3 linked regions of the Arabidopsis thaliana genome follow. The protein of the gene in region 1 interacts with the protein of each later gene in a pairwise test. Each region holds a gene or a part of one and is shown in the gene's direction. Other genes may lie near its edges. The genes, in order: AGL98, AGL36 and NAC041.

Region 1 (3,361 bases):
GGTTTGAAGAAATCACTTGTGTTCTACCGTGGTCGAGCTGCTAAAGGAGTCAAAACCGATTGGATGATGCATGAATTTCGTCTCCCTTCTCTCTCTGACTCTCATCACTCATCATATCCCAATTACAATAACAAGAAGCAACACCTTAACAATAACAACAACAGCAAGGAGCTTCCTTCAAACGTAAGTTATCGGATTTGCCCTAACTTGCTTTACCCGCAACAAAGGTTAGGTTACCAAACAAATTAGAATCGATCTTTTTCATTTTGTAGGATGCTTGGGCGATATGTAGAATATTTAAGAAGACAAATGCAGTATCCTCACAAAGATCAATCCCACAATCTTGGGTTTATCCAACGATTCCTGACAACAATCAACAGTCACACAACAACACCGCAACTCTCTTAGCTTCATCAGACGTTCTCAGCCACATATCAACAAGACAAAACTTTATTCCTTCTCCAGTCAACGAACCCGCAAGCTTCACAGAATCAGCTGCTTCTTACTTCGCGTCTCAGATGCTCGGAGTCACGTACAATACAGCCAGAAACAACGGAACAGGGGATGCTCTGTTTCTGAGAAACAATGGAACAGGGGATGCTCTGGTTCTGAGCAACAATGAGAATAACTACTTCAACAACTTGACTGGAGGGTTGACTCATGAGGTTCCGAATGTAAGATCAATGGTGATGGAGGAGACTACGGGGAGTGAGATGTCGGCGACGTCGTATTCCACTAACAATTAAGATCATAGTACTATTAACACTTGAATTAGTGTAGACGTTGATCATCGCTAATATGTATTAATTTTTCTTGTCTTACTATAAACGTTGCTTCTCTTTTGGTTTCTTGAAGGCCGAAAAGAAAAAGAAAAAAACAAAGACTTGCTTCGAACATGCAACTTCTCCTTAATTTGGTATAGATAATTGTAATGGCTTTTTATATTAATCATTAAGTCTCATTCTTGAATGACACTAGTTTTTTTGGATTTTTCAGAGCCATATTTCATATTCTTTATGAAGAGGATACAATGCTTTCTTTTTTTTTTTTGAAAATAAGTAAAGAAAATATGAATTTGCAAAATCTTTTATTTATGTCAATAATGGCAAAGTAATGGATTAAAAAGGTACACGGAGTTATAAATTATATTTCTCATTTTTTAATGGAGGGTTCTAAATTTTATTTAAAATGGATGTATTTTGGTCGATTTTTGTTAGATTGTATTGTCACAAATTTTTAGCAAATCCAATAATTATATTATTAATTAAGAGCTATTTACATAATGATACAAAGGGTATCTGAAATATATATGGACAAGCAAATCTTTCTTTTTTATAGATCTTATTAATTAAAAGAGAGTGAGAGTAGAAAAAAAAAACTATTTCCTTTTTATCAGTCCTTAACGGCTAAATTACACAAATCTATGCAAAAGATATGGAAATCAAATCTTCACAAGCTTTGTTTTACCGATTAGAAGAGTGAAAAAAAAATAAAAAATCTAACTTTAAGGACCAAATTTTCTATAAGTATATCGCTATTTCACAAAGTTGTCTCTGACTTTCATATTCTTCATCATCTTCTTAGGGTTTCCTAAACCTAATTCGTAGTTTCACTCTCTCAATTTCATTCGTCTTCGTGCTTTCTCTTCACTTTGAACGTGAAACAAAAAATAGAGAGATTGTCTTCGAAATCAACAAGAAGATGGCCATTCGATCTTTACCTTCTTCCTCAGGCTGTTCCAATTCCTCTTCGTCTTCTTCTTATTCACTCGCTTCAACAAGTTTGAGCAATAGACTTGAGACCATCTTCAGGAAAGCTTCAGAGCTTTGCACTCTCTGTGATATCGAAGCATGCGTCATCTATTACGGACCAGACGGAGAACTCAAGACATGGCCTCCGGAGCGAGAGAAAGTGGAAGACATTGCTCTCAGGTATAGTCAACTAAACGAAGCCTTGAGACGCAAGAAGAGCGTTACTCTTTATGACTTCCTGAACAAGAAGAAGAACAAGACGAACTTGGAGAAGAAAGCAAAGATAAAGGACAACGACTTGAAAAGACTTGTCTGAAGAACGTGAATGTTTTAAAGTATCCAATTGCTGATCATTACTCTCCTGACCAAATTTCTCAACTGATTCAGTCCTTAGAACCTCATGTCTCTAAAGTCCGAGAAAGGATTCGTTTTGTTGAGTCGCAGAAACATAAGGAGACAAAACCGGATCATCAGAGTTTAGCATCATCCTCTCTGAATAATCAGACCCAATCTTTGAACCCTAGCCAGTTTTCGCTGTTTATGTATAACCATGGAGATAATATTCTGTCTCAGATCCCAGTCTCTGCATCAAATTTCAATCAGGATTATTTCTCAGCGTTACTTGAACAATCTGAGTTGAAGAGTCAGATAATGAAGCAGGAGGTTTGTGGTTATGAGCAGAACATGTGCATGAGTAACAATGGAGATGCTACGCTCTCTCAAATCCCACTCTCTGCATCAAATTTCAATCAAGAGTTCTCAGCCTTACTACAAGAAGAATCTGGCTTGATGCAACAGGAGCTTTGTAATTATGATCAGAACATGTTTATGAACAACAACAACTTCCAACATTCTTTTGTCTCAAACACACAAGATCACTCTGCTCCTGCGGTACAAGAATCTGTGAACAACAACTATGGGTTGATGCCGCATGTTCCTTGTGGTTATGATCAGAACCTGTTTACGAGTGATATTACCAACAACAACCTTCTTATCGACAACTCGATGTTTCTCTGATAACAAAGCTCATTCAAGAGAGTGTGAGACTGTTTTTTCATCTTCTCGTAAGAATTTTAATATGTTGTTGATGTTTATTTTGCTAAGTATTGCATAACGCATAATGTTTTCTTGTATCAAGCTATTTTACTATGTGAACATCCAATTTATCAAGTGAATATATATTCCACTGCATAAACATGTTACCAATTACTTTGCATATCGTTTCGTGAAAATATCAAACCAAATCTCCCATTTTAAGAATAGCACATAAGGATTACGGACAATAGAAGAACATAATCATAACTTAAAGCTTTATGAAGAAGACTTAAAAACATATATATCTTCTGACTGACTATTTTTCACTTGGAAGCTTCAGTTGACTCGTTTGTGTTGACTTGTATCGGGCATTGAGATACATATGGTTTCAGCTGTAAAATCCAAATAGATATACATCAGCAGAGCAGCTAAATCACACAACAAAGGTTAATGTAATTAAGTAAGCATTCCCATTTCAGGTCCCTAACTCAAAAACCTTACAACAAGAACAAACCAAGATAATTATCAGGATGAACCTAAGGAGATTCTACCAACAAGACTTGTAAGAAGATTTC
Region 2 (3,761 bases), 6.6 Mb from region 1:
TTTTAGGGATATTAATAAGATCAAAAATAGGGTAATGCCAGCTAAATTACTCTTCATTATTAGCTGGTAAAATTTATTTCTAAAAGTGCAATGAAAAATATATAATATCGGGTCAATGCCCCAAAAGATATAATATCCACATGATTTTATAAATTATAATTTTACAAATAAAAAAAAAGACAAAAATCATATTTATGTATTAAACTCTTGATTTTACCCAAATTATGCATATATTTTCTAAATAAAAATAATTTTCATAAATAATTTTTTATATGTCATTATTAATAAATAAATACATGTAGTCATATTAATGTATTAAACTCTTGATTTTACCCTTATATGTAGTCCATTTTTAAAAATACTCTTTCTCTTGAGCAAAACAAACAAATTACCCACATCTAATGAGAAACATGTAATTTATGAACTGAAATTTTCCCGCCGAATTTATTTTTTCCCTGACAAAAAAAAATTCTACCAAAATATTTTTTTTTCCGCCAAATTTTTTTCCCGCCATTTTTTTTTCTCTGTAACAAATGTTTTTCCAGCTAAAAACATGCATTTAAAAATCTTTGTAAAGGTTTTTAAAAGCTTTGTAAATTTGTTAAAAACCCTTGTAAATCATTTTAAAACCTATTAAAATCTTTATAAAAATTTTAAATATATATGTAAATACTTTAAAAACCCGTTTTAAAACCTTTTGTTTTACATTTTAAAACCTTTTACAATAATTTTAAAAGATTTACAAGAGTGTTTAAAAGATTTACAAGGATTTTAAAAACATTTGTAAATGTTGTAAAAATCCTTGTTAAATCCTTTAAAACCCTTGAAAACTATTTAAAAACCATATAAAAATCTTTTAAAAACCCTTAATAATTTTTGAACCATTTTAAACTCTTATGAACCCCTTACAAAATGTTTTAAAAACCCTTGTAAACCATTAAAAATCTTTTAAAATCTCATGTAAACCCTTTAATAATTTTTGAACCATTTTAAAGTTCTAGAAAATTATTTTAAAAATCTTTGTTAATCTTTAAAAACACATGTAAATCTTTTAAAACCCTTTTCAAATCTTTTAAAATCACTTGTAAATCTTTTAAAACCCTATAAAAATCTTTTAAAATCCTTTGTAAATCTTTTTAAAACCTTTTACACTTTATAAAAATCTCTTAAAATCCCTTATAAATATTTTAAAACCCTTTTACACATTTTAAAAATCTATTAAAATCCATTGTAAATCTATTTCCTGCGAAATTTGTTTTTTGCGGGAAAAATCTTTTTTAAAACAAATATTATGGCAGAAAATGTTTTTTTGAAATTTTTTGGCGGAAAATTTTTTTCAGAATATTATAGGCGGGAAAAATCAATATTTCATTTTTTTACCTAAAACATATTTTAAATAGGGGTAAATAGTCATTAAAAATTAAAAAAGGGTATAAATGAAAATAACAAATAAGAAAGGGCAATACTGAAAAGGGATTGTGTTGAAAGGGCATTCATACCAATTATTCAAAGTTTTTGGCGTTTCTGTGAGATGTACTTTGCATATTTTCCAAGTTGTTTGCCCATTCTAAAAATTTATTTGTATGATTCAGAGTACATCTTTAAATTACTGTAGATAACAAACTTTCTGAAATTTACTTTAGATAACAAACTTTAGAGTAATTTCTAGCTTACCACAATTCTATATACATTGACAATATATTACTGTATTTTAAAAGTACAATCACTTAAAACTATTGCAAAACTTCATATTTTAAGAACAAAGTAAGCTAGAAATTATTCTTAGTAAAAAGAAACAATGAGAGTAAGAGAAATTAATTCGCCAAAATAAAAACAAAACTTAGAAATACAAAATATTATATTACATGCCCCCTCGTATTACATGGATAGATTTTTTTCTTTTTTTTGTCATCAGATATTATTTAGGATCAGACGTACCAAACTTTGGATAAGAAAAAATATTTTTATATAGATAATAATGAATTACCTGGTCAATTAATTGATAAGAGATTTCCTGGATGTTATTTAGAATTAATTAGTCCACCAAAGTGATAAGAATCCTAGTGTCTATAGAATCACCTTTCTTTGCTATATAAACATCCTTTGAGCAAACAAATTAAACAAACCACACAAAACAAAAAAAAAAAACAAATTGATGGGGATGAAGAAGGTGAAGCTATCTTTGATAGCTAATGAAAGATCAAGGAAAACATCCTTCATAAAGAGGAAAGACGGGATTTTTAAGAAACTCCACGAGTTGTCAACTCTGTGTGGTGTCCAAGCTTGTGCTCTCATCTACAGTCCATTCATACCGGTTCCAGAGTCATGGCCGTCAAGGGAAGGTGCTAAAAAGGTGGCTTCAAGGTTTCTGGAGATGCCGCCGACAGCCCGAACCAAGAAGATGATGGATCAAGAGACTTACCTTATGGAGAGGATTACCAAAGCAAAAGAGCAACTAAAGAACCTGGCTGCTGAGAACCGAGAGTTACAGGTTAGACGATTTATGTTTGATTGTGTTGAAGGCAAAATGTCCCAGTATCATTATGATGCAAAAGACCTTCAAGATTTGCAATCTTGTATAAATCTATATCTCGATCAGCTTAACGGAAGGATCGAGTCCATTAAAGAAAATGGTGAGTCGTTGTTGTCTTCCGTCTCTCCTTTTCCTACTAGAATTGGTGTTGACGAAATTGGTGATGAGTCATTTTCCGACTCTCCTATTCATGCTACAACTGGGGTTGTAGATACTCTTAATGCTACCAATCCTCATGTTCTTACGGGCGATATGACTCCTTTTCTTGATGCGGACGCAACTGCGGTAACTGCTTCCAGTAGATTTTTTGATCATATTCCATATGAAAATATGAATATGAGTCAAAATCTGCATGAACCGTTTCAACACCTTGTTCCTACTAACGTTTGTGATTTTTTTCAAAATCAGAATATGAATCAGGTTCAATACCAGGCTCCTAATAATCTGTTTAATCAGATTCAACGAGAATTCTACAACATAAATTTGAATCTGAATTTGAATCTGAATTCGAATCAGTATCTGAATCAACAACAATCATTCATGAATCCGATGGTGGAACAACATATGAATCATGTTGGAGGGCGTGAAAGCATTCCTTTCGTGGACGGAAACTGCTACAACTACCATCAACTACCATCCAATCAACTACCAGCCGTTGATCATGCTTCCACCAGTTACATGCCTTCCACCACCGGTGTCTATGATCCTTACATCAACAATAATCTCTAATCACAAAAGAGGGAGAAGAACTAGTCTAAGTGTTCAATTGTTTGTATTTGTGTTTTCTTCATTTCGAAAGACAAAAACTAATGTTGTTTATTAATAATGGTTAAAGGATCTCTTTTTAACTTAATTATGTATTTTGATTATTAAGTAATGTTTTGCCCCCAAAAAAAGATTATTAAGTAATGTATTTGCTCACCGTAGTGTGGGAAACTTTAATTGTAGAATTTTATTTCGAAAATTTAAGATGTGACTGGTACAATATTTAGACGGAAATTTTCAATTGAATTCTTTTAGGACCCATACATAGAGAATAATTGTTTTCCCCAGCAATTTAAAGTAAGAACTATTATTCTTTGAATCAATTATCGATTTGCCATTTTTTGGGATGGTATCTGTGGATTTTGTCCTTTTCTGAATAGTTTGTAGATTTTGCCTTTTTCACACTACGAAAATATGATTTAACATGTGTTTTATTCGTTATGTTTTGGTTTAGTCGGTTGTG
Region 3 (3,761 bases), on another chromosome or scaffold:
ACCTTCTCCTCACGCAACCGGCATTTGTTGAAGTCTCCCATTGTCCCTCCTTTGGGCCCTACCTTTAATGCCAAACTAACCCATTGTATTTGGTATTCTACATAAAAGTTGTACACTAATGTACGATACGATTCAACTACATTAACCGTATGTTAAATTATATAGTATTCACTTGTTGATAAATAAATTATGTTTGAACACAACAAAACTTAGTTTCTATATCCGCTGCTGTTTTGTTATAGTCGTCATTCGTACGAGTAATTCTTTATGTTCCGCACTAATCACGCTTCTTTTGTACCACTTAGTATGTGATTTTCTCATTCGTGGTCTTTGAATTGTATTAGAGGCAATTTAGTCTTTTGTGAGATTAGGAGGTGTGTACGGAAAAGTGTGTGAGACAAATGAAGTTAATGTGGAGGAGATCTATAGTGGGACAAAGCAATTGAAAGTCGCTTTAGAAGCAACTAAATGCCCTCTTGACTTCTCCATTCTCCTTGCGATTTACGCATTTACCTAATTGCATCTTTTACTTGTTTAGCTTGTTAAGTTCTTCTACAACATTACCACTTTTGCTCTCTTAAGTTATTGCAACTTGACAATTTGTTATACCCTTTATCAAAAAAAATACCTGGCAACTTGTTTGAGCTCCTGAATTAATCACATCTCTTAAAAGACGTTTTGCGAGTATAACATGAGCTTTTCTTTTTATAGATTCATTCACCAATCAAATATAAAAACTATAACACAATTAAAATGCCATGTAGCTAGGTATATTAGCAAGTCGTAGAACAGAAATGGAAAGACTTGATGAAAGCACGTCAATTCAATTTCATCTCCTATAAATAAATTGTTGTAGGAAGCCAACCGTTTTGGAATTTCTTTTCTTTCGTTTTACGTAAGACTATATAGATTCAATAACGTGTTGGTTTAGAAACCCATACTTATAATGGTTGACAAAAAGAAGAAAGAAAAAAATATAAACATATACGCTAAAAGTGTTTACCAAATAACAGGGTTATGTAATTTATTATCTGGATTAGGAAAAGATGATTGGACCATGCGATGGAGTAGAGGAATCTGCAGGGCATTTGTCACTTTCATGGACCCCATGAAATCACATCTCTTTTAATTGAATAATCGAAATCCAGTTGCATACGCATCTTTGTCTACGATTGGTCGTAGCACATATACGACATATGCCATAACTACAAACTAACTTAATCTTCTAATAATATTGTTAACGATCGTTAATACTAAAAATTACTAATATATTAGTCGTGTTATCTATGTGTTATGAGGTGTGTTAATTGTTGATGCATAATGAATGAACATGATCTCTAATTTGTTTACCTCACACTATGTGATTCAAGGGTGGAAGTCGTTGGTTAGCAAACATTAGTGTCTCAGGACAAGATAGCTCAGGACAAGATGTCCGAGCGGTTCAGAATCAGTAATGTTTTTTTCCGGAGACTCTACTCGTTGAGTTTTTGCTTGTACTCCCTGGTGTTTGTGTTGTGATGTAGTTTTGTTGTTTTACTTAGTTTTTGATCTTTTATGTAATTTGTATTTCGCTGTAACTTCGGTAAAAAACTTGTGAAAATAGTATAAGTACTTAACATTGATACAAAAAAAAAAAAAAAAAAAAAACTCATGAGGTCTTGTTATATATATGGTGATCACATCTTTAAAGAAAATGTTATAGTATTTGTTTTAGTTTAAACAATTTTTTATGTGCCAAAAACATTATTAAAAAGAGAGCAATACCCTACTCTAAAATAGTAAAGCTACCAAATTCAATTCATTACGACATGGCTCAAAAGAAAAAGTATTTCGAATATTATACGATATCAACCCCATTATCATTGCTATAAAATAAGCCAAACTTTACCTCTCCATTTTCAATAATCTCTCATCTTCTTTCGTCTCTCTTTCTACGGTTCAAACATTAAAAAGATAGATGGAGAAGAGGAGCTCTATTAAAAACAGAGGAGTACTTAGATTACCACCAGGGTTCCGATTTCACCCGACCGATGAAGAGCTAGTGGTTCAATATTTACGTCGAAAAGTAACCGGTTTACCCTTACCAGCTTCTGTAATACCGGAAACCGATGTTTGTAAATCCGATCCATGGGATTTACCAGGTACAGAAATTGAAAAATCTACTCTAGGGTTTCATTCAAATTCAATATTTGATGGTGTATATGCATGATGATCACAGGTGATTGTGAATCAGAGATGTATTTTTTTAGCACGAGGGAAGCTAAATACCCGAACGGAAACCGGTCGAACCGGTCTACCGGTTCGGGTTATTGGAAAGCGACTGGTCTCGATAAGCAGATCGGTAAGAAGAAGCTTGTCGTGGGGATGAAGAAAACTCTTGTTTTCTACAAAGGTAAACCACCAAACGGAACAAGAACTAACTGGGTTCTTCATGAATATCGTCTTGTTGATTCACAACAAGATTCATTATATGTAAGAGAATCAAATTCAAATAAATTAGATTCATCAATCAGTTGGATAAAAACTTGGCTAAAAAGTGTATTTTAATGTGTTTTTAAAAGGGACAGAACATGAATTGGGTTTTGTGTAGAGTGTTCTTGAAGAAGAGAAGCAATAGTAATAGTAAGAGGAAAGAAGATGAGAAAGAAGAGGTGGAGAATGAGAAAGAGACAGAGACAGAGAGAGAACGTGAGGAGGAGAACAAGAAGAGTACTTGTCCCATATTTTATGACTTTATGAGAAAAGACACGAAGAAAAAGAGAAGGAGAAGAAGATGCTGTGATTTGAATTTGACTCCTGCTACTTGTTGTTGTTGCTCTTCTTCGACTTCTTCGTCGTCTGTTTGCTCAAGTGCTTTAACTCACACATCTTCTAATGATAATCGTCAAGAAATCAGTTATCGGGAAAATAAGTTTTGTTTGTTTCTATAGATTAACAAACTTGGGAACAACTTCTATTAACTTTAATAAATTAGATTATGATTGTTTCCAAAGTTAATTATGCAATCCAGGAGTCTTTCTTGGTTTTGGTAATTAATAGCCATATTTTATAGCTTATCTAATTGTATCAAATATTGAAAACTGGTTGATCAAATATCTAATTTGTTAATGAGTGTCAATTAACAACAAGGACCAACCATCTAGCTAACAATTCAAGCAATCAAATCAGAGACTAACACTACATTAAAGATCACTCTTACAAAAAAAAAATGTGGAACATTTTTTTATAGAAAAAATCATATACCCAAACAACACAAATTCATTTATTTTGATATCTGAAAAAGCATTATATGTTAAAAATAGAAAATGCATAATGATTATTTCTTTCAATTGTTGGGTTGTTTCTAAGTTTTTGGACAACACTTTTTTACCCATACTGTAAAAGATCACAACATTGATAAGAAAACTCTCATGTCTGGTTGAAATAAATTAGTAAAAGGTTAGAATAAATTGGTTTAAAGGTAAATTAATATTTTAGTTTTGGCACAAATTAACAAATCAATTAATTTTTGTTTATTTTTAACTAAAACATCATTGATTATCTATCTATATCCGATTCAACCAATATAAAATAATTTATCAAATATAAATCACCCAAAATCAATAATAAACTAGATAATTTTGCAATGGAAGTCGAAAACATCATCTCATTTAAAATTCCAAAAAATCAAATAAAGGAATATTAATATAACATAGACAATTTAGTATGATTTTGGTTTTAGTTAAACATATCTTTGATCTTCAAATTTTTTTTATTTTTTT

The links.
Region 2: the proteins of AGL98 (region 1) and AGL36 interact in a two-hybrid assay, tested with the Arabidopsis thaliana proteins (one large-scale study listed by BioGRID).
Region 3: the proteins of AGL98 (region 1) and NAC041 interact in a two-hybrid assay, tested with the Arabidopsis thaliana proteins (one large-scale study listed by BioGRID).

The regions. Positions count from the first base shown.
Region 1 is NC_003076.8:15,936,685-15,940,045, reverse strand, and holds AGL98 (AGAMOUS-like 98), read left to right. Parts: upstream 1-1,587; 5' UTR 1,588-1,701; coding exon 1,702-2,061; intron 2,062-2,138; coding exon 2,139-2,768; downstream 2,769-3,361. Other genes in the region: NAC094 (NAC domain containing protein 94), read left to right, coding at 1-183, 273-746; AT5G39800 (Mitochondrial ribosomal protein L27), read right to left, coding at 3,110-3,178.
Region 2 is NC_003076.8:9,341,624-9,345,384, forward strand, and holds AGL36 (AGAMOUS-like 36), read left to right. Parts: upstream 1-2,161; coding exon 2,162-3,262; 3' UTR 3,263-3,388; downstream 3,389-3,761. UniProt on the Arabidopsis thaliana protein: Probable transcription factor.
Region 3 is NC_003071.7:14,179,318-14,183,078, forward strand, and holds NAC041 (NAC domain containing protein 41), read left to right. Parts: upstream 1-1,660; 5' UTR 1,661-1,957; coding exon 1,958-2,141; exon of another isoform or gene 2,142-2,205; coding exon of another isoform or gene 2,206-2,218; coding exon 2,219-2,472; intron 2,473-2,561; coding exon 2,562-2,930; 3' UTR 2,931-3,122; downstream 3,123-3,761. UniProt on the Arabidopsis thaliana protein: Transcription activator of the mannan synthase CSLA9. Recognizes and binds to DNA-specific sequence of CSLA9 promoter.